Caenorhabditis elegans: one gene and its partners. The protein of the gene in region 3 interacts with the protein of the main gene of each other region in a pairwise test. Each region holds a gene or a part of one and is shown on either strand. Other genes may lie near its edges. The genes, in order: smgl-1, etr-1, him-10 and C32D5.11.

The links.
Region 1: the proteins of him-10 (region 3) and smgl-1 interact in a two-hybrid assay, tested with the Caenorhabditis elegans proteins (one large-scale study listed by BioGRID).
Region 2: the proteins of him-10 (region 3) and etr-1 interact in a two-hybrid assay, tested with the Caenorhabditis elegans proteins (one large-scale study listed by BioGRID).
Region 4: the proteins of him-10 (region 3) and C32D5.11 interact in a two-hybrid assay, tested with the Caenorhabditis elegans proteins (one large-scale study listed by BioGRID).

The regions. Positions count from the first base shown.
Region 1 is NC_003279.8:7,921,690-7,929,979, forward strand, and holds the start of smgl-1 (Neuroblastoma-amplified sequence), read right to left. Parts: upstream 4,650-8,290; 5' UTR 4,649-4,649; coding exon 4,572-4,648; intron 4,522-4,571; coding exon 4,405-4,521; intron 4,361-4,404; coding exon 3,986-4,360; intron 3,600-3,985; coding exon 3,185-3,599; intron 3,138-3,184; coding exon 2,730-3,137; intron 2,605-2,729; coding exon 2,221-2,604; intron 1,969-2,220; coding exon 1,070-1,968; intron 1,022-1,069; coding exon 917-1,021; intron 874-916; coding exon 508-873; intron 374-507; coding exon 1-373. Other genes in the region: nmy-2 (Myosin-11), read right to left, coding at 5,382-5,509, 5,557-6,003, 6,050-6,914, 6,962-7,651, 7,703-7,891, 8,214-8,290.
Region 2 is NC_003280.10:160,390-168,651, forward strand, and holds the start of etr-1 (RRM domain-containing protein), read left to right. Parts: upstream 1-2,711; 5' UTR 2,712-2,752; coding exon 2,753-2,935; intron 2,936-4,016; coding exon 4,017-4,254; intron 4,255-4,311; coding exon 4,312-4,437; intron 4,438-5,681; coding exon 5,682-5,761; intron 5,762-6,363; coding exon 6,364-6,516; intron 6,517-6,571; coding exon 6,572-6,689; intron 6,690-6,784; coding exon of another isoform or gene 6,785-6,997; intron 6,998-7,505; coding exon 7,506-7,658; intron 7,659-7,785; coding exon 7,786-8,004; intron 8,005-8,153; coding exon of another isoform or gene 8,154-8,159; coding exon 8,160-8,262.
Region 3 is NC_003281.10:5,800,223-5,808,148, reverse strand, and holds him-10 (Kinetochore protein Nuf2 homolog), read right to left. Parts: upstream 4,890-7,926; 5' UTR 4,885-4,889; coding exon 4,780-4,884; intron 4,729-4,779; coding exon 4,574-4,728; intron 4,528-4,573; coding exon 3,976-4,527; intron 3,920-3,975; coding exon 3,614-3,919; intron 3,557-3,613; coding exon 3,499-3,556; intron 3,452-3,498; coding exon 3,155-3,451; 3' UTR 3,037-3,154; downstream 1-3,036. Other genes in the region: R12B2.2 (Golgin-45), read right to left, coding at 121-457, 835-1,019; R12B2.3 (Ras-associating domain-containing protein), read right to left, coding at 1,212-1,286, 1,356-1,434, 1,778-1,851, 1,921-2,256, 2,395-2,488, 2,535-2,539; Homeobox protein ceh-10, read right to left, coding at 7,100-7,407, 7,891-7,926; polq-1 (DNA polymerase theta), read left to right, coding at 5,107-5,175, 5,226-5,349, 5,402-5,638, 5,689-6,333, 6,804-6,926. UniProt on the Caenorhabditis elegans protein: Acts as a component of the essential kinetochore-associated NDC80 complex, which is required for chromosome segregation in mitosis and meiosis and spindle checkpoint activity.
Region 4 is NC_003280.10:6,350,490-6,359,141, forward strand, and holds C32D5.11 (RING-type domain-containing protein), read right to left. Parts: upstream 4,958-8,652; 5' UTR 4,951-4,957; coding exon 4,853-4,950; intron 4,810-4,852; coding exon 4,648-4,809; intron 4,601-4,647; coding exon 4,463-4,600; intron 4,420-4,462; coding exon 4,377-4,419; intron 4,331-4,376; coding exon 4,233-4,330; intron 4,188-4,232; coding exon 4,004-4,187; intron 3,958-4,003; coding exon 3,823-3,957; intron 3,781-3,822; coding exon 3,007-3,780; intron 2,925-3,006; coding exon 2,853-2,924; intron 2,804-2,852; coding exon 2,395-2,803; intron 2,347-2,394; coding exon 2,273-2,346; 3' UTR 2,041-2,272; downstream 1-2,040. Other genes in the region: putative RING finger protein C32D5.10, read right to left, coding at 1-10, 83-187, 233-398, 441-572, 623-944, 996-1,277, 1,322-1,461; C32D5.12 (3-beta hydroxysteroid dehydrogenase/isomerase domain-containing protein), read right to left, coding at 6,034-6,228, 6,283-6,396, 6,445-6,570, 6,647-6,872, 6,922-7,042, 8,166-8,336, 8,392-8,512.

The DNA of each region.
Region 1 (8,290 bases), on a different chromosome or scaffold from region 3:
TCGTGATTCACTCAATCGTTTTTCACTTGATGCAATTGCATCAACAGTATCCAATAGATTTTCCTCACTCGAATTCAGAACAGCACATGAATAGACATCCTCCATATCAGTTGGAACATGGGATGAGTTCATAATTTGCATACAAAGCTTGTGGACAACTGGAACTCCTTTTGCTTTCATAACTTCTCCAATGTACTTGCTCAGATAGACGGCATCATTTGCATTGAGTGCAGCAAGAGCACAATATGAAAGAGCAGTGGCTATTGGTGTGTCAATGTTGAGTTGTTTTGCGAAGCTTAGAATCTTCTTTCCTTGTTTGTAGTTTGATCCCAGTCCGACAACATCTCGTAGAAGAGAGTCATGCTCGCAAAATCTGAAAATTCATTCTCTGTTGTAAGTCTTTTTGGGCTGTTCTTTTTCTATTTTTTCTGGCATTTCTGAGTTTAAGACTATTTTAATTATTTTGAAGGAAAATCTTCATTCCTCATTAAAACTTCCGAATCTTACTTGATTGCAATAGGCATCATGGTGCATCCGAGTTCAAGAGCTGCATCAATTGCATCCAACCAATCCAGCTTTTCTTTCGACTTTTTCGGCGATATCGGCCTTGCAGCGACTGCGAAGAATCTCGATCTACCAAGAAGAGGATCACCTCTCTGAGTAGCTTCATTCATCAACTCGTCACTTTTCGAAAGAAGAACATCTGCGCTTTTAGCAATACTCAGCTTTCTAGGATTACTATTGTCTTCTTTCGGATTCAGTGTTAGCACAAGTTCCATGAGTTCGGGATGACTTCCAATTCGCTCTTCCTCTAGGATCTCTCCTGCAAATATTTCCAGAGCCTCCTCTGTGGTCACCAAATCTTCATAAATTCTAAAAATAATTAAATTAGAGTGTTAAAACCTTAGAAATGTACCCATTGGCCATATCATAAATATCATCTCGTAGTGACATCCAGTCATCAAAATTAGAACAATTTCCAGATCGGGATAGTTTGATAAGGACTCTTCTTGCACCATCACTGAAAATTAGAAGTGAGTATAGTTTTCAAATAAATAAAAGGTCTTACGGTTCTTTCATGCTTTCGAAAATCGACTTGAAAGTCATTTTGACACCCCTGGACATCAATGATCCTAACGAAGAAGTGACGTTCACATATTTATCAACTGGAAGATCACCAAGAGATTTCATAAGATCAGCGCCAGTTGATGTCATGTTAAGAAGAACTTCTAGAATTACATGATCATCCACTACACTCGGAAGTTCATTCCTAAATGCCACTAATACTTTCGTCGTTCGTTCATTTGTAGCTTTCATCAATGTTGTCACTGCATCACGTAATCGATCTTCTATACTTTCTTCACTATCACTGGATGTCATTTTTATTTTCCATTCGATCAATGAAACAATGTCTTTTGCATTTTTGATAAGCTCCGAATCTAGAAGTCTCGAAAACCGATCCGTAAATGACTTCATCGTGGAATCTTGAAACGAAGTTATGCTTTCGCTGACAGACGAACAAATTCGAATATATTGTGCGTATGGTTGCCACGTCGCGAGATCATGAATGAGATCTTCATATCCTCTTTCATATGCTATTTGAAGTAAATTAACACAAATATCAGTCATTCCACATTCAAAATCAATCTTCGGTAGAGTTTCTCTTACCCATGAAGTGAAATCAAATGTTTCTTCATTCGGAATATTTCCAACATTTATACTTCTAATTAAAGATTCAGCATCAGGATGTTCCATTAAAATTTTATCCAATCGTTCATAAATTCCATCATTTTGTTCTTCAAGTTCCCATTGTTCCTCTGTTTCTCCGTCTTCTCGTTTTGGCATCAGAATCTCATATTTTGTAGGTGAAGTACATGTTGGAATTGCTGAGAGAATACGTTTCTGATGATGCTTCATAACTGCCATGTTTGATTCAATTATTCGTGTCAACGAATCAATGTCTCCGTTCTGAAAAATTAATTATTTCCTTTTTATTTAAATTATATTATTTAGCAAATTATCACTGAAAATATTTTCAAAACTTTTAGATTTTTACAGCCAAAAATGTCAATTACGCAAGTTTGCACTATCATAATTTCAGAAATTGGCCAGAAAATCTGATTTGACCTATTTTGGCTATAAGAAAATTATATATATATATTTTCATATTTTACCCGATTAATTTATATTTAAATTCTCACTCTTTCTGTATAAACGTACATGTGCAAATGTCAATGCCGCATCCAAACAACTTCCATTTCTAGCCATCATATAAATATCAACGTCTCCTTTGATTCTACAAACTTCCAACATTCTCCAGTGATGAAGTAACCGGATTTGCCATGTCACACTAGACTCTCCCAGTGATAAACCGAGATCAATAAGTGCCTTGTGAACTTCAAAGTCATCTGAATCTGCACTTGCACACTGTTCAGCAGCCCATTCAGAATCTCCGATTCGTTTTAGAATATCTTCAACATCTTCAACTGTCACTTTGTTTTTGGAGCATTTATCAATCCATTCCGATTTAAGAACAACATATATATCAATTGTATCGTAGGTTTCTGCTAGCTCTCTTGCTCTCGTGTAATCATGTTCCTTCAGCTGAAATAACACAACTTGGAATTTAAAAAAATCTTGAAATTTGTATTATATATATTTTTTTTTAAACAGCGCTTTTTGCGTTTTCAATTAAATTTCAATTACTTTACGTTTTTTTTCATACTTACTGTTCTATCGAACAATTCTTGCAAAGTCCTAGTTGGAGAGTGTATCAACGAAAATTCGAATTTCGCTATATGAGTCTCAAAATGAAGTTGCTCAGCGGGCTCACCCATCGCCATTCCAACGAGCTTTTTCAGCGAGTTCCAAACTGTGTAGAACCACAATTGACCAGCAAGTTGAACACGTTTATGAGCTGCTTTACGAAGAAAAGAGTTGTCACCGTCAGCAGTGAGCAAGAATATTTCACGTTGTGCAGGTGATACCATAACTGTTTGTTCACTATAAAAGTCCTTGAGTTCTGGTTCCTCGTCAATTTCTTTTTTTGATCTCATTTTCACTGAATACATTTTCTCTTCCAAATCTTCCAATGAACATCTGAGGAGATATCCATTATCGTAGATTACTGCAATTTCCTGTAAAATAAATCAATAATTATTTGAAAATGGTACCAGAAACTTACATCACTATCAACAAAACATGCGTCCACAGGACGAGGTCCACTAATGAAATTAAAAGAGAATTTAACGTGAAGAGATGGAATTTCGAATAGATACAATGATCCAGAAGTAGATACAGATACAAGTAATTGAGAATCAAATGACAAGGACATTCTCGGAAGATATGACATGAATGATGTAGAGAATGGAAGACGTGAAAAGAATCCACCATCAGGAGTTGATATTCTGATTGGTTCAACAAATGGATCCATATCCATCATTCGAAATGAGCATAAACCAGCTGGTGGAACTAATGATGTTGATTCTTTGTGATGAGATGCAACTAGCAGAAGATTATATTGTGGTAATACTGTAAATGATCCTGTTTGTCCAATATCCAGTTGAACAGTCCACATTTTCACGTATTTTGATAGTCTTCTGAAAGAAAATTATTGAAATTTTTGTTTGAAAAGAAAATATCAATAGTCAATTTTTGTAAATTTTCGAATATATAATTTTTTCAAAAGTTGAATGTACTCAAGTAGCGGGAATTTTTCTTGCTCTAAAGGACTTGAAATGGTCCGAAAATAGCGAATTTCCTTCGCGCTTTTCGTATCCAAGAGAGCGCAATAAATTAAATTAAATCCAATTCATAACGATACTTATTTAATAAACTACTCAAACATTTTTAATTCTACGTCCAGTAGATAGAATTGAAAATATGCCTACATCCACAGAAAACACAAGTAAAACGACTAAACAATGCAGGTGCTGTATGAAAAAAAATTAATAAAATTACTGATTTGATATATAGAAATAATTACCCAATTTTGAAAGCTGAAAACACTCCAGAATATTGCAATACGTAGAGAATTTCGATGAATTTATCATTCGAAGAACTTGAATAATTTTCAAATGTTTGCATTCCACAAATAGCCGAATTTACATCGAATATTCCCTCATGCAGTTCTAGAGGAATATCATAGAGATATGCACCCATACTATCAAATACATCAATATGCGGTGTACTTCTGGATGATAATATCAGAGTACTTGATGAGGAAAATTGAAGTATACAGTATTCTGGAGATGTTTCTTCAAGAACTTGAACACTTGATTCATGAGTCAGAATTTCTCCGCTTATTTGATAAATATCCAGTTGACGGGCATAGCTCATTACCGCTACTCGATCACATTTTCTGAAAAAAAGGATTTATATCCGTTTTTCTATCCCAATCCATACGGCGAAACAGCTAATTTACAGAAAGGCAGAGATTCCACATAATTCGCAATTTGCACTGGAATTAAAACATTTGGACTACGCATTTCCACATTGGTTAACCATTTGAGAAGATTATATCTGGAAAACGTTCAGAAAATTATAAAATTTCGCCATAAATCACAAAATACCGTTCTTTCAATAATATTTTTGAATTTTCATCATCGTGCTTCTCCTTTTCATGATTTGTTCCTCTCATATGCGCCATTCTGTAAAAATTTGTTATTTTAAAGAGTTTATGAGGATTAATATCAGGAAAACTGAACAAAAAGTTAAAGAGGTACCCGCCTAGGTGTTGGACGTCTGCGTAAATCGACAACGTAGACCAAGTGCAAACACTTTCACGTCAAATTGCGGACATGTCAATTTGTTACATTAAATACAAAAGTGAAAGTCAAAATCTTTAACTTGCATTTCAGGTATTTAACTTTTCACACAGATATTCAATAATGCAAAACTGACATTTAAATATAGCATTTCGTTCATTAATTTTGATAGCGGTTGTTTGCAGTAAAATGAGCGTCTTCAATTTACTCGAAAACACAAATTTCGTTTTTATTTGTCATCTTCAACTCGATAATAATTTAAACTTGGGACAACCGGATAGTGCCTGGGGAATGGGAAGCAATGTTGGGGCATTATTTGGGACACTATCCGTACGAAAAATGTTCTACCGGGAAGCGGTAAATGATAAAAATACATATTGAAGCTGAGGTGATGATGGTGATAGACATGAAACGAGAAGAACGACGTGACATGCGATATTGTGCAAATTTATAACACGGCGAATACTATTAAAGCAGATTGTGCAGGGAAATGTTGATCAAGGGGACAATCATGGTCTAAAAACATAGGGGAATGGATAAGAATTGGGAACGTTTGGATACAATCAGGTCAGTAAATTAAACAAAAAAATAATCCGGAATTAAAAACTTTAGAGGTTAGTTGCGAACTGAGTCGCGGTCTTCATCGGTGTTGCCAAGTTGGGATCCGGTTCCAGATGTGAGACGAGAAGCTGGACGGTCAGATGGTGACATTTCGTTTGTGAGAGCTGATCCACGGAATTCATCTGAAATTATAAATGTTTAAATTTCATAACAAATTTTAACAAAATACCTCGTGCAAGGCTGGTGTTGCTTCCAAATCTTCTCGATTCACGATGTCCAATCAATCCAGGTGTTCTACGAGCTGTCGTTTCACGCTGTTTCAATAAAGAAACATCTCTGGAGAGTGTCTCATTGAGATCAGTCATCTCTTCAGCTCTTCTCCGCTCGTCCTTCAACTTGTTTGTCAAACGGTCTCGCTCTGCCTCAGTATCTTCCAACTGTGTACGAAGTTGACGGATTCTAGCATTCTGACGATCAACAGCCTGACGATTACTTTCACCTTGTCTCTTCTCTTCCTCGAGCATTTGCTGCATCTCTGCCATTTTCGTTTCCATTCGTCGCAGGGTTCTGCCTTGACGCATCTTATCCTGCTCTTCCAATGAAAGCTGTTGCTCAAGACTGGAAACTTTGGCTTCCGCAACGTTGATTTGTGTACGAAGACGAGCCACAGCGGTATCTATAAAATTATATTAACATACGAAACAATCTCATCACAAGCTTACTTTCAGCATCTTGAAGTTGTTGCTTCAAATCACGATTCGCACGTTCCAATGCAATTTTATCTGATTCTGTTCTCTCACAAACACTTCTTTCCATTGCAAGATCAGCTGTCATTTGTTCTAGTTGCTGTTGTGACTTGCGAACCTTCTCTTGTGCCAATTCATTTGCCGAAGCCTCCTCGTCGAGTTGGTCTTCCAAATCAATTACCTTTGCTTCAAGACGTCTCTTCTCCTCATTACTGAATGAGGAAGCGCGAAGACTAGAAACTTCTTCAATGAGTTCATCGCGCTCAGCTTCTGCTTTACGTTTTGAAGAGCTGACAGCTTGAATATCGGCGGTGAGTCTCTTGATCTCATCCTCCGAAGCCCGAGCTCTCTTCTCTGCGTCTCTTTGTCCAGCAAGAGCATCTTCCATGGCAGCACGAGCTTCTGTAACATCCAGCTGGAGATCTTTCCATCCCAGTTGGGCTTTGCGAAGCTGACGCGAAAGATCTTCGATTTGTCTCAAAGAAGCTTCGTTCTTTTCAGTCAACTCGCTGATTTGAGATTCGATCTTCTTCTTGTTGGCAATTGCAGCTTGACGAGCACGTTGTTCAGATTCAAGCTCTTCGGTAAGATTTCGGATTTTAGAAGTGAGTCCCTTCTTACGATCATCCTCATCTTCTTCGCGAGAGGCTAATTGACGTTCGAACTCGGATCTCATTGCTTGCATGTTGACTTCAACTCTGCTTCTAGCATCATCAGCAAGTTGGAGAGCATCTTCTAGTTCAATGATTTGTTGTTCCGCACGACTCAACTCTTCATCAAGGCGACGTTTCGTCTTCTCCAACTCGTAAACATTCTTTCCAGCATCATCCTTGGTGGAGGCCTATAAATTATCATTGAAATACGATGATACGATGATAAATTTCTTACCAAATTGTCAATCTCTAGTTTGAGAGTCCGTTTGTCCTTTTCTAACTGATCCACAATATCCTTTTTCTCGGATAATTCATTTGACAACACCAGAGCCTTCGTCTCTGCATCACGTAGCATTTGATGAGCCATATCTCTTTCTTGCTGAGCGAGCAAAGTGTTGTTTCTCTCCTCGGCGAGCTGTTGATCAAACTTCCTCATTTTTCTCTCCATCTCTCTAGTTGCGGCCACCACATCAGTCAACTCTTTTTGCACGTCCTCAGCCTCCTGGATAGCCTTCTTCTTGGCCCGTTCAGCCTTATCTCTTGCTTGTTCAGCCATGTCGGCCCGCTCTTTCTCGGCTGACAACTCCTTCTCCTTCTTCTTCCGCAATTCTTCCATCACCTCTCTATTTTCCTCATCCAACTTCTTTCTAGCCTCGGCCAACAGAGATTTGACTTCTTTGACCTCTTTTTCGATCTTTTCTTGTGCGTCAAGTGCGTCATCTCTGGCTTCAACAGCAACCGCAAGATCTTCTTCGAGCTGACGAATTTTATTGTTTAACGTGGCTCTAGTTCGACGATCTTCCTCAGAAGCTTCAGTAAGCTCAGACAACTGCATGTCGAGTGAAGCATTCTTCTTGAGAAGGTTAGAATTCAGAGTTTCGTCAGCACTCTTTGCTTTTTGAATGCTTTCAAGCTCGTTGTTCATCTGCAAACAATAATCATGTCAAGAAACTTTCTCTATGTCGTGCTTTCATACCTTCGATAACTTAGCCATAAGATCATCAAGATTTGACTGCATTTCACGCATCTTATGATCCTTCTCCATCAACGACGTCTCGGCCGCTTTCCGCTTCTTTTCCGCCTCCAGACGAGCCGATGCTATGTTGGACAGCTCGGCACGGAAGTTCTCGTTATCAGATTCAGCAGAAGATTTTGCCTTGTCAGCCTGCAAAACGGACAATTATAACTGATCAAAACAATCTTGAATCAATAAATGACAAGATTGACGAAACTATGTGAAAAGAGGTGATCGCAATCAAATAGCGCGCTAGTTTCATCACTAAACAGTGTATATTGACAGCACCACTCTACCATCGGACAGACAACTGCATTGAAACAAGCAAAGGCGGTTGCGGAAAAGGAAGAGGCGACCAATTTAGTGGTAATTCGAGCATGAAGCTCCGCAAAAGTTTCCGCTCTTCCTTCTAACTCCTCCTCCCAGACTTCATCACAGTGAGTAAATAGGTAATAAGGCGAAAAGCAAATACCGAAATTTTCTGACGTTTCAACTGATCGATCGTCTCATTCAACTCCTCAATCTTTTTCTGATTCTGAGCCTTCATTT
Region 2 (8,262 bases), on a different chromosome or scaffold from region 3:
TTTTCATTTTTGTTCAATAATTTTTTTTTCTGACAGTTTAAAAAAATATATTCCGATTCTGAATAGATGCGGGTAGTAAATGTCAACGTATATTCCACTTTCCCGAGATTCAGCCTTAGATTTATAGATTTTTGAACAGCTGCCAATCTTAGATTTCAAAAGATATTCGTTTTAGGACAAATAGCCAATGAATTCGAAAATCCTGAAATCATTCAGAACTACAGTAGACCAGCATTGTTTATTACAATCAGATGTGCTAAACATTTCGTATATCCTACAACTCTCATTATACTTCATTCTTATTCCGGAAGGCGTCAGTTTAACCGAGCATATGTTCGCCAGATGTTTTTAGTTCTGATGATCTGTAAGGTTGTTTTACACCACCCACCCAGGTGTTCGTAGATCAGGATACTTCGAGGCCAAAGCTTCCAAAAACGGAATCGGCGAGGATTAAATTAGGTTCCAAACCCTCGGGGCCAATGGTTTTCCAGGAAAAGCGGCATCTGGAAAATTACATACTGCGGGAAGTGTGAGAAAGTGACAACGGAAAACATATGTGCCGCACAAAGTCACACGGCAAGAAAGATTACATTTTCCCAATTCTCTAGTCATTTGACTAGATTCTTGCCTCTGAATTTTAGAGTCTGAAGCTTCTATATCCGAACAAACAACACTCCTAGGAACTTACCGTATCCTCTAGAATGTTTCAGGCTTTATGGCCACCTGTCGTATGTCACCTTCATTACCTTCTTTAAAGGGATAATCGTGTCGAGACCCTGACCCCCGTCCTGGCTGTCGTATCGTATCGTGTTGTGTGTGTTAATGATGTCGATTTACGCTTCACAAAAAAAAGATTTGTTCATTTTTTGCATTGAATGATTCTCATCATCACTGTGAAATGAAACGACCCGTCTCCCCTCATCGGGACAAAAAGACATAGAGAATAAGACGTGGAGATTGACAAATGGTCAGTTCAACACAATTAGCTATCCCCCTGCCGTCGTCTTCTTTCAATCTTCTCTCGTTGCACGGACCAGCAGTGATGGTGTACACTAAAAGAGATCTAAAGAAAATGCTCTCGGGAGCCTTTGGAGCTGTGATGCTCTCTGTGCTATTACACACGGTAGCTCGTGAGCATCCATCCTGAAGGAGCAGCTGTCTTCACTAAGTCTTCTAGGCTATCTTTACAACAACGGTGTTCTTTTGGTTCCGCCCTTTCTTTTCGGATAGACGAAGTATTTTCAACGTGTGTTTTGCTTTAGAGTGAAACCTTTTCAAAATTTCTCATTAGGCAGATTACCCTAAGAACTTACAACGAAATTTGCGTACATTTTTCAAATAAAACATGCCAATTTCTGGAGCCTGGAGGTAAGCTGGCTTCCATTTCATGTTAGAGAAAATGACTTCAGACATATATATTTATTTTCTTGTCATTCTTTTCTCCCTGCCAATCTTCAGGCTACTCCATTTATAATCGGTTTTCTTCCGGCTCCCCGTTGTTGCCTTTGCTAGGGGAAAATAAGAAAAACGAGATGACTGACATTATGAAAGACTGAACGTTTTGTCGGTTTTGGATCCAGAATGTATTAGCCGTCTGATACGCTGCAGCATAATTCGTGACACAGTTTCTGAGAATATTCTAAATTTAGAAGGGGAAAATCTTAGAATCCAGAACTGACCGAATCGTTGGAGAACATATAAATACGTTGCAGACAACTGTTTTATTTGTGTTCAACAAATACATAGAAGACGTCCCTTTGCTGGAATATATTTTTGTTCTTCTCTGTTTGTATTGTTACTGCCCCGCGCGCCGCAAAAAGCAGCAGCAGTCGGGTGGCGATAGTCTCTGAGAACAGTTCAAATTGAGGTGATCCCCGCCCCATTCATCAATATATTTCTTCCACATTTGAACTGATTAATGTCAGAAAAGAGTGAATGATTTGATAAGAATCTCTTCTCTGGCCAGAACTTTACACACACGGTCCTTGCGCGCACGCAGTACTGATAAACTCGGCTGATAACACAACATTTTTTCTCCCCCGTCCTTCTTCTCGTCTTCCAAATGTCTTAATCACCGTTAATACCGTCCTTCTCGGCGCGGTATCAGAGAGGCAAGAGGCAGACAAAGAGGTATTTCATCGATAATAGTACTGTTTTAGTTGTTCTCGCTTTCTATTTCGATTTTTAAGTATACAGCTCTAATAATGTTTCCCTCGGAAAAATATATCAGTTTTGGAAATCTATATCTATAATGGCTCTTGAAACGTATAAACATATTAGATCTAAAATGACCGATTACGGCATGTTGTTCCAAAATTGTTAATTTAAAACTCGTTCTGAAATGAAGTAGTTGTTGATCTGAAAATATAATAAGGATTTTTCCATATTTTGGCACTAACTTTTAATAAAAAAATGTTATGTAGAATTGGCAAAAGTATTTGACGATCTCTCTTCTCTTTCAATATACGGCTTATATTTCACAATATTTTTACAACCTATAAAGCAATATTATTATCGATAAAATACCTTTCGCTTTGATAATTACCTTGCTTCAAAGTTATTGCTTTTTATGCGTATAGTTGATTTTTCTATAGTTTTGACCATGAAACTGCTAGATTCGTGCATTTCCATTGCTTTTAACACTCTTTGTTAATTTCATCATTTTCATACTTTAAAAAAAAATTTCTCCATTTCAGACACATCTCCTCACACCACCATAATCTCAACCTTCCGAAATTCATCCTTCCATGATATGAGCGGAGCTGTGCTACCAGCAGTTCTAGTGGTACCAAAAATGGAGTCAGTAGTCGTTCCGATTGCGGAGTCCACCGTCATTAATGCCAAGGACACAACACCATCCACGGCAGCGGACAACGACGTGTCACCGTCCCCATCGGAGCCAGACACAGATGCGATCAAGATGTTCGTCGGCCAGGTAATCATACTTTCTCAAACTTTTATTCGAAAAGTGGGCATAATTGGCTCACCCCAATCTCCCAATTCGATTCAATTTCATGTATACATGCACACAATGAGACTCCCCCCGCTCATCCATTTACTGAGACACTTCACTACTACTACACAAATTTGATAAAACTGAATAACGAGGAGACGGGGTATTGGATTTGTGTCTATTTGGGTTCGACCCCCTTATTTTTTCATACGCGTTCATTACCATATAAATGATGAGGGAGGTTTTCTCGACTCAAGGGCATTCTCAAATTGATGAAGACGGACAATGATCATCAATTTTTTAGAGTAATGATGATAGAGAAAAGTAGGGCAACAACAAAAAGGGGAAAGATATGGACTTTTGCGGAGAGTAGGGTTTAAATTAACACAGTTGTATGTGTATTGAATTTTTGTGAAAAAGAATGAATCAAATATCCACATGACATGTGGCTTTTTATGGGAATTTCATAGCTCTCTCGAACAATAATAAATCGTGGGAATAATATTGCAAGTCATATTTCATATTTTTTTTGTCATTTCAAACACGTAGCCAACATCTATATTTTTCGTGATTTTCCCAAAGATAGAAATCATATTATTCTGAAAGTTTAAAGGTGGAGTACCGAAATCTGAGACTTTGATTTTTTAGAACCAAAATAGCCCAAAACTACCGAATTTCGTTCGTAATAAGACGTTTTGAAAATTTCTCAAAAAAAAGTTATTTAGCTGGAAATGACCTTTTTTGCAGAACTTTGAACCGCCATAACTCTGTTTTTGAGAAAATTTCAAAACGTCTCATTACGAAATTTGATAGTTTTTGGTCATTTTGGGTTTGAAAAAGCAAAGTTTCAGATTTCGGTACCCCACCTTTAAATTACATCAATTTTCAACAAATAATGGGGTTTTTCAAATAGTGTCGCGAAATATCACGAAATTTATTGAAATAAAATTAGACTGTATTTCAATACATTTCGCGACACTACTTGAATAATTCCATAAATCAATTATTTTAATAGAAAAATGACATTTTAAAATTCAAACTCAACGCAATACAAATTTTGCAGATCCCTCGCCAGTGGAACGAGACAGACTGTCGGCGATTATTCGAGAAGTACGGATCAGTGTTCTCGTGTAACATACTCCGTGACAAATCGACACAAGCTAGCAAAGGCTGCTGCTTTGTCACATTTTATCACAGAAAAGACGCGATAGAGGCTCAAGGAGCCCTTCACAATATAAAGGTTATTGAAGGAATGCATCATCCGGTACAAATGAAACCAGCTGATACTGAGAACCGAAATGGTAATTTACTGATAAATATAAAATAGTATAAAAATTACAAGAAATAATTTATTTCAGAACGAAAACTTTTCATCGGCCAGCTCAGCAAGAAGCACAACGAGGAGAATCTGCGTGAGATTTTTGCCAAATTCGGCCATATTGAAGATTGTAGTGTGCTTCGTGATCAGGACGGAAAAAGTCGAGGTAAGTGGGGGAAGGGCGCATTAAGTAGGGTATCTTTTTCAAAAAAGTGTAAAAATATTTACCTGTCTCTATGCTCTTTTTTACTATTTTCTCTATGTTTTCATCATTTTCTGTGTCATGCATGTTGAGCGAAAAGGTGGGAAGAAGAAGAAGATTCCGAAATTCGAAATTGAGCTGATTTACACGTGGCAAAATGGTCTTGATACGATTGTCACAGGGTTTAGAACATTTTCTAACAAAGTTGGTAAATTTGGATGTATGACTTTAAACCCAACATTTTGAAATTTTTGGCTAGTACCCTCAAAAAAATGCGTGGTGTGTATCAGGAGTGTGCGGCAAATTTTTGCCGGTTGCCGGTTGCCGATTTACCAGATATGTTCAATTCCAGCAATTTGCGGTTTGCCGATTTGCCGGAAATTTTTAATTCCGGCAATTTGCCGACTTTCCTGAAATTTTCATTTCTGGAAATTTGCCGATTTGCCGGAAAAATCGTTTGCCGCCCACCCCTGATTTGACCTTTTGAGTTTTGAACTACAGTAACCCAAAAGGTGGACATTTTTGGCTAGAAGTTAGAAAATTATAAAAAGCTGTGAATTTGAAGAGCAATGTTTCGGAAAAAGTTAGTATACCTAGCTTTAACGAAACTTTCAATTTTCCGGTATTTTTAAAATAAATTTTTAAAAAATTGAAAATCAAAAATATGTTGATCCTAATGAGAGTCAAAAATAGAAGTTATTTAAAATTGGATTTTTTTCAGAAATTTTTATCCAATTTTCCGATTATTCAATTATCTTGATAAATCCTCGATTATCGATATTCGATGCCGATATTCGATCGATATTGAACAAAGTTAAACTTTCGAAAACTAAATATGTCAAAATTTTTGGGTTACTGTAGCTTCAAAAGCTAATATAAACCGACTACAGTACCCCAACGTTTTTGAAAAATTTCGACTAAAAAATTAAAAAAAAAAAAATCATAATTTTCAGACCAAATTGCCACGTGTGAATTACAAAAAAAACAAATTTCTGTTCTACAAAATCAAAGTAACGTCCTGATTTTTTTTTCGAAAAAAATGAAAGTTTCATTTTCTTGCCCTGGTATTCTATGTAAAAGTAACAAGTGAGTGTCGAAATAAAAGTTTGAAGTCTGAAATTGGCTTCACACAACATATACCCAATGTCGATGATTCCTCTATCTCTAAATGTTAATCAATATTTTCATATTTGTTTTTTCTCCAACAGGATGTGCATTTGTAACGTTCACAAACCGCAGCTGTGCCGTCGTCGCCACCAAAGAAATGCATCACTCGCAAACGATGGAGGTTCGCATATAGCTTTTTGTCTCTTTTTTATATTTATTTTTATATGTTTCTTGTATGTATGGGAACCCTTCTGCTGTAAACTCTAAATTTAATTTAAAATCTCTGAAAATTGTCAAAGTTAAACGGAAAAGTGTGTTTTACCAATTCTATTCATTAAGGATAGTGTAGTCAAGATGTTAGTGTCTTTAAAATTGCTTTATTAGACTCAAAATTGTCTGAAAACTTTTTCGAGAACTTTTCGAGAATTTTCATTTTTAAATTCGGTGTGTTCAGACAATTTTGAGACTAATAAAGCAATAAAAATTCGTCACGAGAAAATATTAACTACTATAGTTATTATGAAATTAAAAATAAAAATAAATTGCATTTTTCCTGAAGTTTAAAAGGTAATGTCAAAATTTAAAGCAGTTTCACTAATTTTCTTATGAATGTGGTTTCCATGTTGAGTGTTGAATTTTCAAAGTCATATATTTTCCCATGCTTTATTTACAAATTTAGATTATATGTTTAGAAACGTAGTTTTTTCCTTCATCATTATTCAAAAATTACAATTTTTATAGGTTCTTTCTATAGAATTCTAATTTTTAAATCAAATATTGCAGGGATGCTCAGCGCCGCTTGTTGTAAAGTTCGCTGACACTCAAAAAGACAAAGACGTGAAGACGAAATCAATGATCACTGGAAGTGGAGCCGGTTCACCGAAAGGAGGCGCGGCAAGCTTGCTTCAAAACTTGAATCCGGCGCTGTTGCAGCAGGTAAAATATTATAAAACATCAATATTTTGTTCCTAAACCAAATCAAAAGTTTCAGCTCGGCGGTGGACAAAACTATCAAGCAGTAGCCTCACTTTTGTCTCTTATCAACGGACAACAGGGACAACAACAGCAGCACCAACAGCAACAAAATGTTTTAGGAATTTTGGGAACAGGTAAACTTAGTTGATAATCATTAAAAAATTGTACACGTAGTTCAATAAAATATAATAAAACTGAAAAAAACCCACGGTCGCAATATCCGATTCAGTGCTCTCTGCGCTCGGCAAGCTAACCGAAGGCGGTGACGACGCGTCGGCAAAGTCCTCATCGGAAAAGCCACGCCACCAAGCGTTGATGACGTCACCGGCACCGACTGCCACGTCATCAACCTCATCGTCGGCTTCACATCATCACCAGCAGCATCAGCAGCAGTTATCACAGCAACAACAACAACAACAACATCCGCAGCAACAAGGTTTAGGTGGGAAATTAGGCTTCTGAAGGTTGCCTTGTGGATGATATATGAAGTGTGTGTTCTCGTATCCCTCTCGTCGGAATGTGGACACTACTGTGTGCTTAATCTCTATTTTGGTTGCTCACCCCCCTCATTTTCTCATTTGCCACGTGGATTGATTGATTGGACGGAATTTTCGCTTACTGTGTTCTCGATAGCCTACTGTGTGAATCATCCTTCTTACTAACACAATATTTCCGAAAAAAAGATTTGTGCGTTAAGTATGACGCATTCGGTGTTTGCAGACACACCGATGTAATGCATCACAATTGACGCGCAAATTTGTCGAAACAGAACGATTTACCTTTTTAGCTAAATTCACGAATAGGTTGTTTTTGTTTCGGCAGTAGCGTTTTATATCCGCTAATATAACATAGCATGTTGAATTAATTGAATGCAAAGAGTGCATAGTGTGTTTTCTTTTATTGGGGTTTGATTTTTCCGTCCTGTGCAGCTTCAAGTTATCCGATAAAAGTTTTTGCAGGTAACCCATTGCTTGGAAATCCAGCTATGGCTGCTCAAAATCAATTCGACGCTATCACAATGGCACAGATTGCTCATCAACAGCAAATGCTGGCACTCCAAGGGTTCGCCGTGCAACAGGGCGCTCCAAGCCAACAGCAACAAGGTAGAATTTAGCACTTTTTTCTCTCAATTGCAGTGTGCGTGTTTCCTTACAGCTTTTTTCCATAATCTAACCTATTTCTCCACATTTTTTCTAACCTATTACTATCCCATGCTTGCATCAATTTCAGGACTATTTCTTGCTCATCAATACTCGACAAACTACTCAACAGGGTCACCGGATTCTGCTTCAAATGCCACTGACTCATCGTCGGATGACAACAATGTGATGAACAATCGTTTGACACCGACGTCTAAAATGGCTCAATATGGATATGGGCCCTTGATTCCTCGTCACCCAGCTCAGCTTTACTTGCAGCAACGGTTTCCTGCGACTGCCGCGGCCTATGGTACATATTACTTCTATTTCCAAACGCTTTACGGTTTTAGGTGTGAAGCAACTTTGCATGCATTTTCCTATTTTCCTAAAATAAGCTTCTCCGCACCACCTTTCTAACCATTAGGCTCATTACCTATTCATTTTTCACCTCAAATAAAGTTCCAGGACTTGCCGGTGGAATGGCTGGTGCAAAGACTACATCACCAGTCGCTGCATCGCTCGCCAATCATCAACAGATTGCGTTGACCCCATTTGCAGGAGGAGCCGC
Region 3 (7,926 bases):
ATTAGATAACTTCAAACTAGATCTATATAGATTAAACTCAAAGGGTATTTGTTATTGAAACTTTTGAAATGAGAGTTCTAAGAACCTAAATTCTGATATTTTTGTTATAATCATACTCACCTTTCCCATATATTCATCAACTCGATGAGCCAATCGTACTTTATCTTCTGTCAATGCTTCAACCTGCCCCTGAAGTTCATCACTCAACGTGGCAATCATTAATCTTTTAAGCTCCGAATTCATTTTTTGTTCAATATTTAACTCTTTTCTTAGAAGATCCAATTCTCGTTCCAACTCAGCTTCTCGTTCGGACGAAGTCACCGGTTCCATGCTTTTTCTATCTTTTCTCTCGTCTCTCAATTCCTTTCGTAATTGTATATTATTATTCTGTTCTGATTTTGAATTCATTGCATATGCTATCAGTTCGGGAAGATTCTCTGGACACGTGGAACCTTGCCTGAATGTGATTTCTTGTCGAGAAGAAACATTTGTTTGGATTCTCTTATTTTTTTTAATAACTTGTAAAAAATCTTAATTTTCCTAGTATTTTTTTTATTATCATTTTCGTGTTCAAGCTGGAATTTTTTTGGGAATCGGAAATTTTTAGAAAAATGTATTAGGTTAATTGCAAAGAGGATCGTAATTTATGTGAAGTATAAAGTTTTCGGAACTCTAGAAATTTGTACTTTTTTAATGTGAAAATTCAGGTACGTTTATATTTAAAAATGTATTTTTAAAAATGAAGGGAAATAATACACAACAAATACACAAGTACCAAAATTCATTATTATCTTAAGATTTAATAATAATAATTTTGACCGAACGAAAACTCACTTATCATGTGCGACAGCCGCCTTATATGGTTCCCATGGTACAATTCTCGTCTTTTTTATTTTTCCTTTACTCTCAGGACTTGAATTTCCATCTTCTTCTGCTCTTTTCGTAAAATGCACTTCCTCAAAATTTCCTTCAGATGCAAGTTGCAAATCATGAGCATGGTATAGATCTAGTAGATCCATTAAATATTTTAATTAATAAAAAGTCAGAGAATAGTATGAAGAAACAGGAGGGTGGAAAAGAGATGGTCAAGTCAATAAAAGGAGACGACGGCTGCTGGGTGGCCGGCTGTGGCTGATGGCCGACATTTTATTAAAAAATCTAACAAGTTTCGTTGCTCTTCAACTTTATTCAAATAATCAAATTTCAATATTTCATTTCGATTTAACGCCTTGATTGATCTCCGGTTCATTATCCACCAATTCAACACCATATTGAAGAATGAATATCTGGAAATGAGAGAGTGAAAAGAAAAAGAGACAGGACATTTCTATCGATTTTTCTTCTAGGTTATTCACCTTCACTTGCTCGGCAAGATTTTGAGCCGCCACATCGACTGTCGTATTCTTCGGAACTTTCAGAGCCAGCTTATTCTCACTGAAATGTTTTTTTGATTGGGTAACAATATGAGAAGTCTTTTCAAATATTTGATCAAAAAGGTAAGAGGAAATGGGTAAGATATCTTACTATTAGGATATATATTTGGAATTAATCTTAAAGTTGGATTAAAAGTATTAATAATTTTTATTTACACCCAAAAAGTGGAGTTTTTTCTTCTCACTAGTATTAGAAATCGGCCAAACAAACTTCTTCCAAACATCGGAGTTTGCGTCAAAGCAGAAAAAATAGGCTGTAGGTAGGCCAGAGGTAGCACCATACTTTGGAAGCCTAACCATTTCAAAAATTAATTCCAAAAAATCTAGATTTTTTAAAAACTTACTACGGTCCCGGATCCTTAACTTTGTTCAATGTCATTTGAGCAGATGTTGGTGCAATTGGGACTTTGACATTTTGCTGGAATAGAATAAAAATTAATGATTCAGATTATCCACTTGAATGGTGACAGGATCCACGAGATATTACCTTAACCGCCATTAAAGTCTCTCGATTCTTCCTCTCCTTCTTTGATCCACTATTCGGAGCGAAACCTCCGGTTTCACAAATCTTGCGTAGAGCACCGTATCGTCTCCAGGGATTGTTGGTGCTCCGCGAGCTTTGTTTTTTGAAAGTTGGAAGCTCTCCGTTTTGAAGGAATTCCGTCACAAGTTGGGTATTTGCCAAGATGACTGATTTGAATGCGACTTGATTTGGAGGCGGGGCCGATGTTTCCTTGTAAGTTTTATGAAGCAGAAGAATTGAAGATGTTGAGCTACCAAGGGAACGAGCATTTGGAAGAGATCGGGGTCCCAGATTTGAGAGCTTTTAAATATAATTTTATTTTAATTTCTTGCAGTTTAGTTTATGATTAGTTTATACACATGGAAAGCAATTAACTTCAAAGAGCGTTTCTTTTACATATATAAAACTAAAACATCATCATGTACTATGAATGCTCACCTGAGAGCACATCGAATGTACATCATCAGTGGAAGATCTTGTACCATTTGAATCATCTGGTCGAACTAATCTCTTACCCGAAAGGTCTAATGGTCTGAAAATTATAAAATCTGAAAAGAACATTATTTGAAAAAGCTTACTGCATAATTTGTAGAGTGAATTTTTCAGAAATACAATACAAAAATTGAGAAATGAACGAAAAATGTCAATGTTGAATGCAATAACTCGAGGCCCGCACGATTTATTTAAATTTATTTAGAATTTTGGTAGGATAATATTCAATTCAGAAGGACAATTCCAACTTGTAGAGCTAATGAGCGAAGAGAAGTTTAAAATTTCTGGAAAAGTTTTCATTTCAAGATAATTTTTTTTTCAAAAAACGTTTCAAAACTTCCGACTCTCACTTATTCCCTGTTTGAGCTTTCTCCAAAATAAGAAACCACGCCCACTTTTTGTCTTACTGTAGTCTTAAAGACGCAAACAAAAAAATACAAGGCAAAAAATTCAAAATTTCTAATTTTATTTTTAATTAAAAACAGAGGCACATAATCTCCCCGTAAATACCACTTGAGTGAATTCTTACCTGAAAAGTAAATTGGTGTGAAATTTCTAGAGCCTGGGAATGAAAAGAAAACATTTGAAAATAAAGACCACATGATTTATTTAGACTCAGTTAAAATTTTGTTATTGGTATGGAAGAAAGCATAACATTTACATTGAATAGAGATCAAATGAAGTGAAATTTTCGAGTTGAGTCATTCTATTTGAAAACGGAAAAACTCGAATCGTTAGGTTGTGGATCACAATTTTCCGTGTTCTCTCCGGCGTCGATTGTCGATGATCCGAATGTGTAATCACTCAGAAGGCGTCCGGTAAGAGAGCTTTTTAGACGTTCCATTTCACGTGCAGCTGCAGTGTTCTTCTCAAAAGCTACTTTCTGGGTTTCTTTGAACATTGCATTAAGTTTTGCGAATTTTGCAACAGCATCTTGGCAAGAGTTGGTGATTTGGGAAATCGTCTCACTGTGTGCGTTTTTTAGAGCGAGGAGTTCTTGCTTCTGAAAAAAATGTTGGTGAGTTTTATGAAGATTGATCTGACAAAAACCTTTTTAGCAATTTCCTGTGACACATCTGGCTGACTAGTTTTCAAATTTGCGATTTGCCTGAAAGATTTACATCGTTTAAAAAAATGTTTTCAAAGTATCAAATAAATTCCTCACTCGGTAATCTCCTCAATTCTACGCTGACGCTCTTCACTTTTCTGCGTGTGTTCTATACGCAATTGTTCATGAGTCTCCGACTGCTCGACGAGTCGCTTTTGTGCCGTTTCCATCTCCTTCATCATAAAATCCAATTGCTCCTCCATTTCCTTGAGCTTTCGAAGATTCTCACTTTCAACATCGATCAGGTCAATGATAACTTCTCGAACTTCAGTCCACTGATGGATCTTCTCAATAATCACTGGCACGTTCTTCTCCGAGTTGATGCAAATTTCACGAGCCTCGAGTTTTGCTTGAAGGCCTTTTCTGAAAATAATTACTTTTATTTTGAATTTTTGGAGAGACTGAAGATATATCAGTACTTTGATGATTCAAGACAATCGCGGAGCTCTTCAATGTGACGTTTCCTTTCCTCCATTTCTTGTTTCAGCTGTTCCGGCGATGTCAGAACTTCTTCATTCAAATGCTCAATTGTCTTTTTACCAGTTAGCATTTCCTTTTCGAGGGCTTGAATGTGCAGAATAGCTTCTTCTTTCTGCTTGTCGAGTTCTTCATTAATTTGACGAGTTTCGGTATATTCGTTCACAACATTTTTAAGTTCTGCCTTCGCATTGCTCTGTTCGTTGATTAATTCATGCTCATGACGTTTTCTTATGCTTTGTTTCGCGAGAAGATCATTTTTCTTCTTCTCGGCTTCTAACAACTCTTCCCGAATCTTTTCCATTTCGAACTTTCGATCACTGAACTCTTCGCTAATTTCATTGAACGCTGGAGTGGCCAATTCGTGAAGTTTCAGAAAATCTACAAGAAAACTTGTCAGCTTTCTGAATCGATGTTCGTGTTTTGCAGGTGTCACGAGATCGCACATCGTCAAGTCCAGCTTGTTGCCAGAATTATCTTTGATAAATGCTTTCCTGAAAAAATATTTCAGCAAATCTAACATTAAAATTAAAATCTTACATGCATTGGAAGAGAATAATGATAGGAATGCTCTTTTTATGCAATTCTGGATCATAATCACAGTTGGCGGACAGCGGAAGGGTCGTCAGCGAGCTTTCCGACACATTTAACACAAGCCTCACAAAATTAGCAAATATTTGTTGCGCTATTTCTGCCTGAAATCGGGTTATTTGTGCTGATGAATTCAATATTCTGTTCAAACTTACGGTTGGCTTGATAATGTCATCGGCGACAAGGCCCATATGCAATTTTTGACCAAGATACTTTGAAATCATCCGCGGATCATACACAATTAGTACAACGTTTGACATTTCTCCTGAAAAATGGAATTTCAGTTCTAAAAACACAAAAATAAAGTTAGAAATTGTTAAAAACAAAAAAGTTTATTTGAATTCGCCGAAGAGCGCGCCAAAACATGTGACATTTCTCGGCCGTGAAAACTAGGCCACCGCGGCCACAAACAAATTTTAGTTTTCTTCGCTGAAAAAAACATGTTTTTCAGTCTGAAATCAGAGTTTTTAGTATGAAACAAGATGGACGAGGCTTCCTGTAGATTTCCAGAATGGGTTTCTTCAAAAATCATCGATTATTACGCAGAGCAGGTAACATAAATCGCTGTGATGAAATAGGGACAAAATTTTTTTAATTTCAGAACATCAAAGCGCTGTTCGATTGGCAGATTGATGTGTTGAATGAGGCAAGACAATTTGAAGATCAACACTTGATATTCAGTGCGCCAACAAGTGCTGGGAAAAGCATTGTAGCTGAACTTTTATGTATTATTTTATCTGGTTTAAAGAATAAATGTTTAAAAACTGTAATTTTCAGCATGGAAAGTCGCTTCAACTGGTAGAAAGGTACTCTTCGTACTTCCTTATATCTCCGTGGCTCGAGAGAAACTTCATCAAATTCAACGGTGTTGGAGACGAGATGACATTTCTGTCTGTGGCTTCATTGGTCCACAGGCCTCAAATCCAAATGAGTGGCTTGGGGCAGTTTGTACCATCGAAAAAGCAGCAAGTTTGACAAATCGAGCATTATCAGAAGATTGGTTTGAGGAAATTGGTTAGATAAATCGATTTTAATTTAAAATTTTCACAAAAAGTAGCTTTCAGGAATGATAGTCGTTGATGAAATGCACATGGTTTTCGATTCGTCTCGTGGTGCACACATTGAGCACATGCTCTCGAAAGTTTTGCTCTGGAACCAATCTGCACTGGAAAAAGTTAGAATTATCGGAATGAGTGCAACTATTCCAGAACTTTATCGAATAGGCAAATGGCTGGACGGTGCGAAAGTTTTCGAAGCAAGATTTCGACCAATTGTTCTACAAAATCATATTGTAATTGGTTCGGAGTTGAGGAAATCTGGAGATAACAAAGTTCTAAGAGAATTCTCTGAAGATCCATTAATATTGCTTACCGAAGAGAGTTTTCGCCGCAATTCTCAGACTTTGGTAATGATTTCTTCGAAACTTGATGCCGAGAAGACTGCTTTGAATATTGCGTCGAGATTCCATGAGATCAATAAAACCGACAGCTCATTGTTGGAAATATTAAAAGAACGAGCCAATGGACTATTATTTATAAAGCATGGATTGGAACGGAATGGTTGCAAGGATCGGAATGTTATGTCAACACTTGCATGGGGAGTAGCATATCATCATGCTGGATTGACGATGGAGGAAAGAGAATGCATTGAACTAGGATTTCGGGAGAAAAATATTGTTATTCTTGTGGCTACAAGTACTTTGGCTTCAGGTGAGTGTTTTAAAATTTTAATTGTGGTCAACCGAAATATCGGAAGAAATTAAAAGCAAAATGTTTGTTGAAATATTTTTGGGGAAAAAATTAAATCAAACAATAATTTTCATTTAGGGTGAAGATTTGTTGATAAAAATTTACTTTAAACTTTCAAAAAATACTATTCACTCAAGAATTTCCAGTTGTTTGCTAATCCCGCTCTTCCCTTTTTTTTAAATCGAAAAGCGAAAATTTTTCGGTTTTTTTTTCGAGATTCCAAAATGTCGATTTTTCGAATAATAGCATACAATTTTGGCCCTTTTTAGCTGAAGAATATTAAATTTTTGTTTTCTTTTTTCTTATTGATGAAATAAGATAAAAGGTTCAAATTCGTCGATATATTAAGATTAAAACTATTATAATTTTTCAAACTTTACATTTTCAAAAGTTTAAAACCTTCTTTTCCAAATAAAAAAATAGAATTCCAGGCGTAAATCTCCCTGCGGAACGAGTACTCATCAAGGCTCAGCCACGTGGCCCATCGGCTCTCACTTCTCTAAATTACCGTCAGATGGTGGGAAGAGCGGGAAGAACAGGACATGCTACACGAGGTACGTCTTCTTTTCCCGCAAAATCTTCAAATAAGTACTTGACAAACGGCGATTAAAAAGAAAAAAGAAAGAAGTGGTTGTTTCCTGACCGCTCATTATTATTGTTGTTATTAGCAGATTAATTTATTATTTAGGTAATAGTTATTGACATTGAAATTCACGGAAAAATAGAGTTACATGGGATTATTGTAATCATGATAAAGCTTCAATGAAGCATTATTGTTCGGAATCATTTGAGAATCCTGAAAATGTAATTGTGAAAGTGAGGAACTGACAACAAGTGAAGTATCGAAATTCAATGATGACTGATGTTGGGGAGCTTGTTGTTGAACATGCTCAATTATTCGTGGTTTGTACTCGTTTTTCACTTGACGTTGCACTGGAGGAGTTACCGGACGGTCATCATCATCACTATCCGACATATCACATTTTTCAACACTCTCCAAGTGAGCCGCAGCTTCCATACTTTTCTTGTGCATTCCTGAAAACAATGTATCATATGGGAATGAAATGGGTCAGAGCAGGTGGTTCAGGGTAATTAGTGGTGCAATATTGTGGTGTCACTGTCGTAATTTCTCCAATTTTAATACCTATCATGGTGCACCTTCAAAAAATTTAGTTTTTGTTAGGAGTTTTGCACGTTTTTTTTTCAAGTTTTACTAAGAACACAAAAATAACAATTCATTTTCTAAAAGTTTCAAGCTACCCTGAAGTTTGGTTTGTAATTTATAATTAAAACATCTTAATACCATTTTTTGTTTGTTCCCGGTTGTTATCCGGAATTATCCCAGTTGAAAGTTTTAGATAGACTAATTTTGTTCTACCAAAAGTCCAATTTCATGATCTTTTCTAATTTCATTTGTTTATCACAAAATTAAACTCTTTTTCTGACTCATTCTCCCCTCTTCCTCATAAACAAGCTGATTAACGCAACTATCACATGCAAAGTCACATCTTCACATACCTAACAACCACGGAGCAGCACTTTGTTGTGGATCCG
Region 4 (8,652 bases), on a different chromosome or scaffold from region 3:
ATGGTAGATCCTGAAAATTTTATTTTGAAGTTTTAAATTAAAATAATATTTTAAAAGCATATTATGATAAAAAATTAAATACCAAAAACTCGGTCGAATGGTGTAAAAACCGGGAATCGGCGCGACCTGTGGTTTGATCTATTTTCTTCGGGTTCAAGCTCAATTGAATCGTCGACCGTCACAACATCTGGAAGATACGATTTTTTGAAATTAAGTACAAATATGATTCTACCATTTCCAGCACTTTCACCTCCGCGATCTGTTCTGATTCGATATGTTATGGCACCGCACCACTCCAAAAATGACTTTCGACTGTTAATCAAAGACTTCAGCTCAGCAATAAATGCAATTACAACCCGACATGATACAAGCCCATTCAATGCTGCATCAACTTCTCTCTGAAACATTTCAAACTTATGGTAAATTTGTTTTTGAACTACCGCATTAAGATCACGCGTTCCACGATCTTCAATCATACTGAATATTCTATTGATAATCTCTTCGTCTTTTCCCTCGGCCACATCATGAAGTGTATAAAAATACCAGCTATTTTCATTGTCGACACGTGGTTGCTGAAATACTTTTCATTAGAACACTTTTATGTTTTAATGGGAAACGTTACCGTCTTCGCCGGAAGGGATTTCAACTCGACGCTCAAGAAACTGTGTAAAACTGCTCGATAGTGATCGATATTATCACGGAATTCAGTTTTCGACAGAGAATTAGTTGCATCTGGCAATCCTTCTGATATAACTTGACGCTCATAGATCAATCTTCGGAATGCGGCTTTTGAGACAATTAATGCTTTTGCTGCTCCATGATCAATGTCGTCTCGGAGCATTTGCAGGGAGTTCAATTGTGAGACACACAGTTGTTTCATCGAGTTCAACTCTTCTAATCGTGGCTTCCTTTTTTGACTATCAGATCTACTTGATGTTGCTCCACTAAAAGAATGTTCAAATACAATTTGTATATTACTCATCGAAAACTCTTACATGATCTCGTCAATTTGGTTCATTAGCCTTCGACAACTTCGAATTTTTCTCGACACAATTCTCTTCTCAGTCACAAGATCTTCTGAAGCAGTCGCTGCTGGCTCTCCTTCGGATTTTATTTGCTGGACGGTTATTTTCTCATCGGTTCCTTTCCGTTGGATGAAGCTAACTGGTGTTTTGCACATTGGACAGAAAGGACCGGATCCCTTCGTGAGCCAGCCTACAATGCAATCGTAGCAAAATTCATGGCAACAATCACTCAACGAGGTTGTATCGATAATTCTGAAATAAATCAATTTTTAATTAATACTATTGAATGAACTTACTCATTTTTGCATACCGAACACTCCTCTTCCGGTTCGTCGATTTCTTCTTTAGACTGGGGACTTTCTGTCATGTTACTTTCTCCAAAATCCTGAATTGTATTCTTTTTCAGTGGTGATTCACTTGTGCTCGGAGAATCCATTGAGCTTTTCAATTCTTTTGAGATTTGAAATATTCCTCTAAAAAATAAACTATCGGAAATTTTTTAGTTTCTCACAAATATTTTTCAGTTTGCGCAAAATTTTCAAGTTTGAAAACTCTAACTAATTTTTCCCATATTCTGGTTTGAAATTTCAGTTTCTCTTTTAAAAATTAAATTAATAAATTAAAATTAATATCAAAGAAAGAAGGTAGTCGAAGTAAAATAAAAAAGCCTAAAATGTTGATAAAGATGGAAGCAATCAAATAGATCTCATTGGAGCGCACAAGCATAGTTTTGAGATATTTGAATTTTTATAAGGAAATTTCCCTTAAAAAATGGAAAGAACAGAAACCGGATACAGAGAAAACACTCACAAATAGATTATTATGAAAAATTGGAAAAAAAAATAGTTGGGTGCATCTTTTGGAATTTTCTAGCTTATAGTAAGTTTTGTTATTATTAGATTCGTTGCTCTCAAACAAAACATCTTTCTCAATAAAACATAAATAATAAAAAAACACACAGAAAATACCAAAAACCTGTCTATAAAACAGTTTTCACAAACTGATTCGCTCAAAATATTATTTTAACATTTCATTAAATATTTTAATAAAGTTTTTGAAAAAAGCAGAACACATAGAATGAAAAAAAACGGGGGTTGAGTAACATTTGAATGTACATGTCACAAGGTACAACTAAACAGTGAAGGAAACGGGTTGTTTAAGAAGCGAGTGTACATTTATCCATACAGATATAATGTTTAAGAAACTCGAACAAGATTATTTTTTTAAATGAGCGTATTTCTTGGATATTAACGTCTATCACGACGAGAGTTTGTTGATCTTTTGGCTGGTGGTCCCTCGGGTGGATGCCCGTTTTCGGCTGCTGAAAAATCAAATTTCGGTAAAAAACAATTTAAAGTTAGAAATTTACCTCTTCTTGCGGATCTTGTTCGATGAGCAACCGAAATAAAGTCAAGTCCATTATCAGCATCCTCCTGATTTATGGTTGCAACAATTTCCGCAAGTGATCGAGATTCTTCGTCAGATATAGCGGGTGCTGGAGTTGCTGGACGAGGAATTTGTGTCGGTGCATTGCTTGTGCTAGCATGTTCTTGAATTGCTTGATGAGTTTGCTGCATATTTTGGTAAGCTCTGTTGAAAAGTTGTTCCACTTCTTCGATTCTTTGCTCCCGTGGTGGCTGTGGGAAATGTCTTCTCTCCAAAATGCTTCTGGTTCGGTTTAAATGCGCGAAATCATTACTCGTCATAGTTCGCGGCTGATAAACAGGTATACTCGTAGATGATGTAGTGGTTGAATTTAACCGTGGCGAGAGCATAACCTGAAACAATTTTGATGATATTTTATGTTTATATATTTTTTAAACCAACCAATCCAGAATAACCATCAGAAGTGAATCGTCGACTTGTATAATCCGACGATGCAGGGTGACGGAAGAGACTCTGAAATATAGAAAATCTTCAAGTTTTACTTACTATTAAATTAAATACATTCACTTCTTTATAAATTCTCAATAATACTCACCGAAAGCCCTCGTGATCGATTATCAAATTCCCGAACTCTTTGTAGAAGTCGATCTCTTTCGATTTCGCGGCGTGTCTGGGGCCGACTCTCAATCGGCGGAATCTCTTCGTCTGTCGGACGATCGGAATCTAAACGTCTCATTGCAGATCTCAGCGTCATATGACTGCGAGAAGTTGTCGGTTGCTGTGAAATAGGTAAAGTTCTAGTAGTTTGTCCAAATGTTACAGGCTCAACTGGAACCGGTTCTTCTGTAGTTGGATATCGAACACGAACATCTCGATCACGCATCATGTGGTAGGCTCTCATTGACAGCGGTACCCGATTTGGCATTTCCAGCATTTGTTCGTAGTATGCTCGTGCCAACGATTGTTCACGTGGATCTTCGTCAGGCATTGGCGTTGGAACTCTTTCTTCTGGCGACTCAGAACGATCACTATCATCATCGTTATTCGTGGCACGGTCCGTTCCATCAGTATTTGAAGATTGACGAAGAAGACGTCCTGCCACATAAGTATCCATCCAATCATTTGTACTTCCGATATCACGATGAATTTGATTGAAGAGTGCTTCGAATCGGCTTTGAGGATCATCACGTCCCATAGAGTTATAATCAAAGAAGTTACTCGAGAAACTATTGTATATAGAATCATAGTAAACTTCGTTGTAGAATTCTTCGATTGTTAACTTTTCAATTGCAATAATTGCATCCAAATGATCGTCCAAAAATTGAATATGAACTGCACTAACAGGCGTTAGAATTTCATTGAGTTCTCTCTGAAAACTAGCAGTTTTAAATTAAATTTCCTGTAGACGTACCCGGAATAAATGATCACCCGATGGACGACTCAGCATAAGCTCGTAAATTTGAGCGGCATAGCGCTGTTTTTGCTGCATATCGATGCAGGAACCTAGAAACTTTGTTCTCCATTTGTGGCCGGCAAGTTTTGGTTGCTGAAAAATTCTAAAAATTTCAAGAAAGTTCAATAAATTTTCTTACATTTTGGAAAGGTATAGCGTCGAACTCAGCTATCAAAAAATTCGTGATAACATTTCTAAAACGATCCGGTTCTCTGGCAATATCAGATGGCTTGATTTTAACTTTCTTCAAATCAGGATACATTACTTTGACTTTGCTTGTGTAAACCATTCGACGAAACGTAACCGTATTGAAAACAATTGACCTGAAATCTTTTTTTGGTAATATATTCATTCAATTAAACTGATACTTGTTGATTCGAGCCTGCTCCGTCCTAAGATCCGATAGTGATATCTCTGCCTTTTGAATATGCTGTGTTACGATAGCGGCTAACTCAATCAATGCATTCTGGAAATAAATATTTAGTCTGTTTATATAGCGTGCTAATTTTTACCTTCAAGATTTCATCTGGTTCCTTCGATTCTTCGATACCGCTTCTGAAATATAGAACGTTTTGTTGGAAAAGCCAAGCAAACTCACATTTCTGATGATAACAAGCCTACAACCTTGTAGGAATGCATTAAATTTCTGACAACTAGTCTCCTTTCGCTGAGAAGTTGAACTCGATCTGTAGGCGTAAGTGACATATGCCCGCTTCGATATTCTTTGATTGCAATCCTGAAACAGAAAATTATCGTAAATATAAATAAAATAAAAGTTCTAACTCTTTTTGTCCTAGTTTTTGCTCTGAAAAATCATACGACACTTTATCGACATCCTTGCGACACATTGGGCATGAAGGGCGTAGAGATTGGCAGACCCATTCAGAAATGCAGGAAAAACAAAACGAGTGATTGCATCCTTCGATGCGACATTCTTGAGAGAATCTTAATTTTAACAATTAGTTGTTTGTTTGAATTTATATCCAACCTCGTAGATAAACAGATTGTGCACTGCAATTCTTCAACCGGGTTGTTTGAACTTGTTGATGGAGATGGTATGACAGGTTCCACACCACTGTCCCCCATAGTTTTTCTGAAAGAATTTTTCTTTTATTATTATCACTCATTATAGTAGAAAAATCAATAATGAGCAGTATGACTTTCTTTTCAGAAATGAGGCAAGGACGACCCGAAAATACTGATATCGATTTTCCACTATGACTTAAATGATGAATCATAGCAAGCTATCGCTTAAAAAATAAAAATGTCGTCGGATTTCACTTCTAGAACGATAATATTAACGTGTTTCGAGATTTGGCTATTAATTTCAGAAAAGATACGATAGCATGCTTCCGTGGTATGAAATATCACTTGCAGATTGATAAATTCGTATTGACATTGTTGAAATTAAAGCCAAAAAAGTCGATATATCAAACCACATGAACGAATTCCCAGAAACTAGAGAAAAACGAGAGAGCGAGGGAAGAAGCGAGGCGTTGGCATCGAGAAATGCGTCAGCAGGTTTCTCGCAGGTCCGATCGCAGTCAGCGATGAACATAACTTTTTTGCCATTAAATTTCTCATATTTTAAAATTAGCAAAATATTCGAAGACTTGTGTGAAATAAAAACAATGATTATTCATTAATCAAAAGTTAAATTAATAAATTGGTAAGCCCCGAAGAAAGAAAGAAGCAGAATAAAACAAAGATTTGTTAATATTGAAAACAATGAGCCAAAATTCTGTACAGAATTTTGTACAACAAAGTTTTGTACAAATTTTGTTTCAAATCGTTGCGGACGAGTTTTCAAAAACGCTCTATTGACAATTGTGAAAAACTTCGGCCGTGAACAACACGAGGACAATATCATGAAACAGACGAGCATTCGAAATAAATATATTATTTATAAATACAAACAAAATAAATAAAATAAAGACATTGATGGAATATTTTCCTATATCATACATCTATTTTGAATTTAAAATTTAGATTATCGTATCCCCATAGGCGAAATTTCGCGATTTTTGACACGCCAAATACGGTACTGGGTCTCGACACGACAAAACTTCAACAATTTTTATTTGATAACTTGCAAAGTATTATTTTTAATAAAGCACAATGAAACTGATTCAACAGATTGAACTTCAAGTTTATTAGGATTAATTGGAATTATCCTTGCACAGTTGGTCTCTTTACTGCCTCCTTCGAATACGAAGCTTTGGAGTTCGCGTACAATTTGAATGCCTCTTCTTGTGAGATTTCCGGTTTAGAATTCAATAACAGGCGCAGTTTCTTATTAGGAAATCCAACAGTTTTCTCAAAGAACAAACGGAATGCAACGTGATTTAGAATGTTTTCTGGGATCTAAAAACTCAGAAAAATTAAAAATATTGGTTTATCTGTAAATTGAGAGTGTACCTTGAATCCAAGCATATTCTTCCAATAGTTTAAGTACGAAGTGGCAAATGATGGCCAATAACTGACAGCTACTTCTTGACAGTAATTTGGATTAAGAAAACGACTTTCGAAAAACTGGAAGTTAAAAAAAATAAAAGTTGAATTTGTTTTCTATCAACTTACATCTCTGATTGAATGAGCACAGTTCTCATCCATACAGAACACAATTTCTCCATTCAATCTTTTCGAATTGTAAATTAATCCGAAAAATGATTTTTCAGCGATTGCAGCTAGGTTTCCAGCATATATCTGAGAAAGGATTTTATGATACATAACCGACAAAGTAGAACATATCACAAATAAATAGAAGCTCTCTAAAACTTACAAATTGATGCATTCCTCGTCGTTCTCCAGTTACAAATGGTAGAGCAGAATTCAAAATTAATTCTTTGATTGTGTCAATCTTTTTGCTTTTTCCAAGACCATAAACAAATGTTGGTCTCAAGAAAATTCCATTGAAAGATCCCTTTTTTGCGGCCTTTCTCGCATACATTTCTCCTCGAGTACGAGATTCTCCATACTCATCCAGCATGTAATTTCTTGGATAATCACTAGAATATCAGTCAATTTCACATATTAATGTTACAAATTGACACTTACAGAAACACGTCTTGCGCCAATCCATAGTTATCTTCATTTGGAATTGGGCAATAAGCACATCCGATATTAACCAGGGTCTTGATGTTCAGATTGGTCATTGTGTCGACTACACTCTCACAGGCTACAAAAAGAGAAACAATTATTTGAAGTTTTTTAATACAGATCACCAAGTTTTTCTGAAAATTTCAAAAACTTCGAAAATTCTACAAAAAATTCATCCTCACACCTTTGTAAATATTTTTCAGGTGTATTCAAAGCTGAAAGTTCAATTTCAAAAGATAGAAAATTAGTAGGAAATCATATTTTCATTCATTACCAAGTTTCAAAATATTTTTGTACACTTAAAAGTTTATTTTCACCACTATAATCTTTCAAATAAACTTCATTTCATCAATGATCACTGTATTTGAATGATTTCTGTTTACATAAAAATTAGAAAAATACGTTTTATTCAGATGTTCTAATGGGTTTCTCTTTTGGAACAAACAACATTTTTGGATATTTTTAGAAAAAAAGGAGACTTTGGAGAATTTACTGTAGATTTATTTCTATTTGGAACAAAATTTTACAAAATTTTATAAATCCCATAGTTCATCTATGTTTCTAGTTCTTTTCTGATTCCAAAAGAGCTACTAAAAGCTATGGTATTGCATCTTTTAATATCCAATTCCGTTCGAATCGTTCAATTTCTTGTTTCAGAGAATGAAATGACGCAGAATGGTCAAGTTTTCAACAAGATGTGTATTTAGTTGCTTGTCTATTGACAATTGGAATGTGCTTCTTACAGTGTAACCTTTTTTTTTTCGAAATTTCAAGTTCAAATGGTGGATAGATTTAGGAAAAGGCGAAAATGTGAAATCTCATTTGGAGAAAAAGCAAGTTATAAATTTATGGAGTTCGGAATATTGTTTTTTAGAATTACAATAATTGTCAATAAAGAACTTGAAAAAATATTTTATCACCGCAGGGATTGAACCAGCGAACGTTTACGTGAATGGCAAAATTTTTAGCCACTTGACCACAGCGGCTTTTTTAATTTTTTCGGTAGTAAAAGAGGTGATATATTATTCACTTCTACTGTCATAGAATTTTGGATTTACTCAGTGAAAGTAATTAAAATAGCAAACTTTTTAGATGTTACAAGTTACAAGTTTTCTTGGAAATCCAAGTAGCGAAAAAACTGTACACGAAAAAAGTAATTTGTTTCTGTACTTTGTATAAGGATGAAAAAGAGAGAACCTTACCATTTAAATTGTCTCTCCACATCAGATTATTCTGTTCTTTATCTTTTGAATAAAAAATTGGAAATGGTGAATGAGCACAATGAATTACACCATCACATCCTCTCAATGCATTTTCCAATGATTTTCTATCATTAAGATCAATTTGATAAAGCTTGACTTTTCTGCTTTCATCTGAAAGCGGACAGATTTAGATAATTTTAAAAAAATGGAAATCAAGTAGACTTACCTCTGGAAGTGCTCTGCCGATCTATAATCCGAATTTCTGCGATTTGTTCATTTTCTAGTAATCTCTGAACAACATAACGTCCAACAAGACCAGCACCACCGGTCACGGCGACGGTATACATTGTTCTGAAGTTAAAATGATAGATTAGTTGTCTTATTAAGTGATAAAAAGTTGTAAATTGGACAGGTTTTAGAACAAGTGCAACTGGAAATAAGTGAGTGAATTGGAAGAAAAGTGGAAAAGGAAGAGGAGGATAAAGGA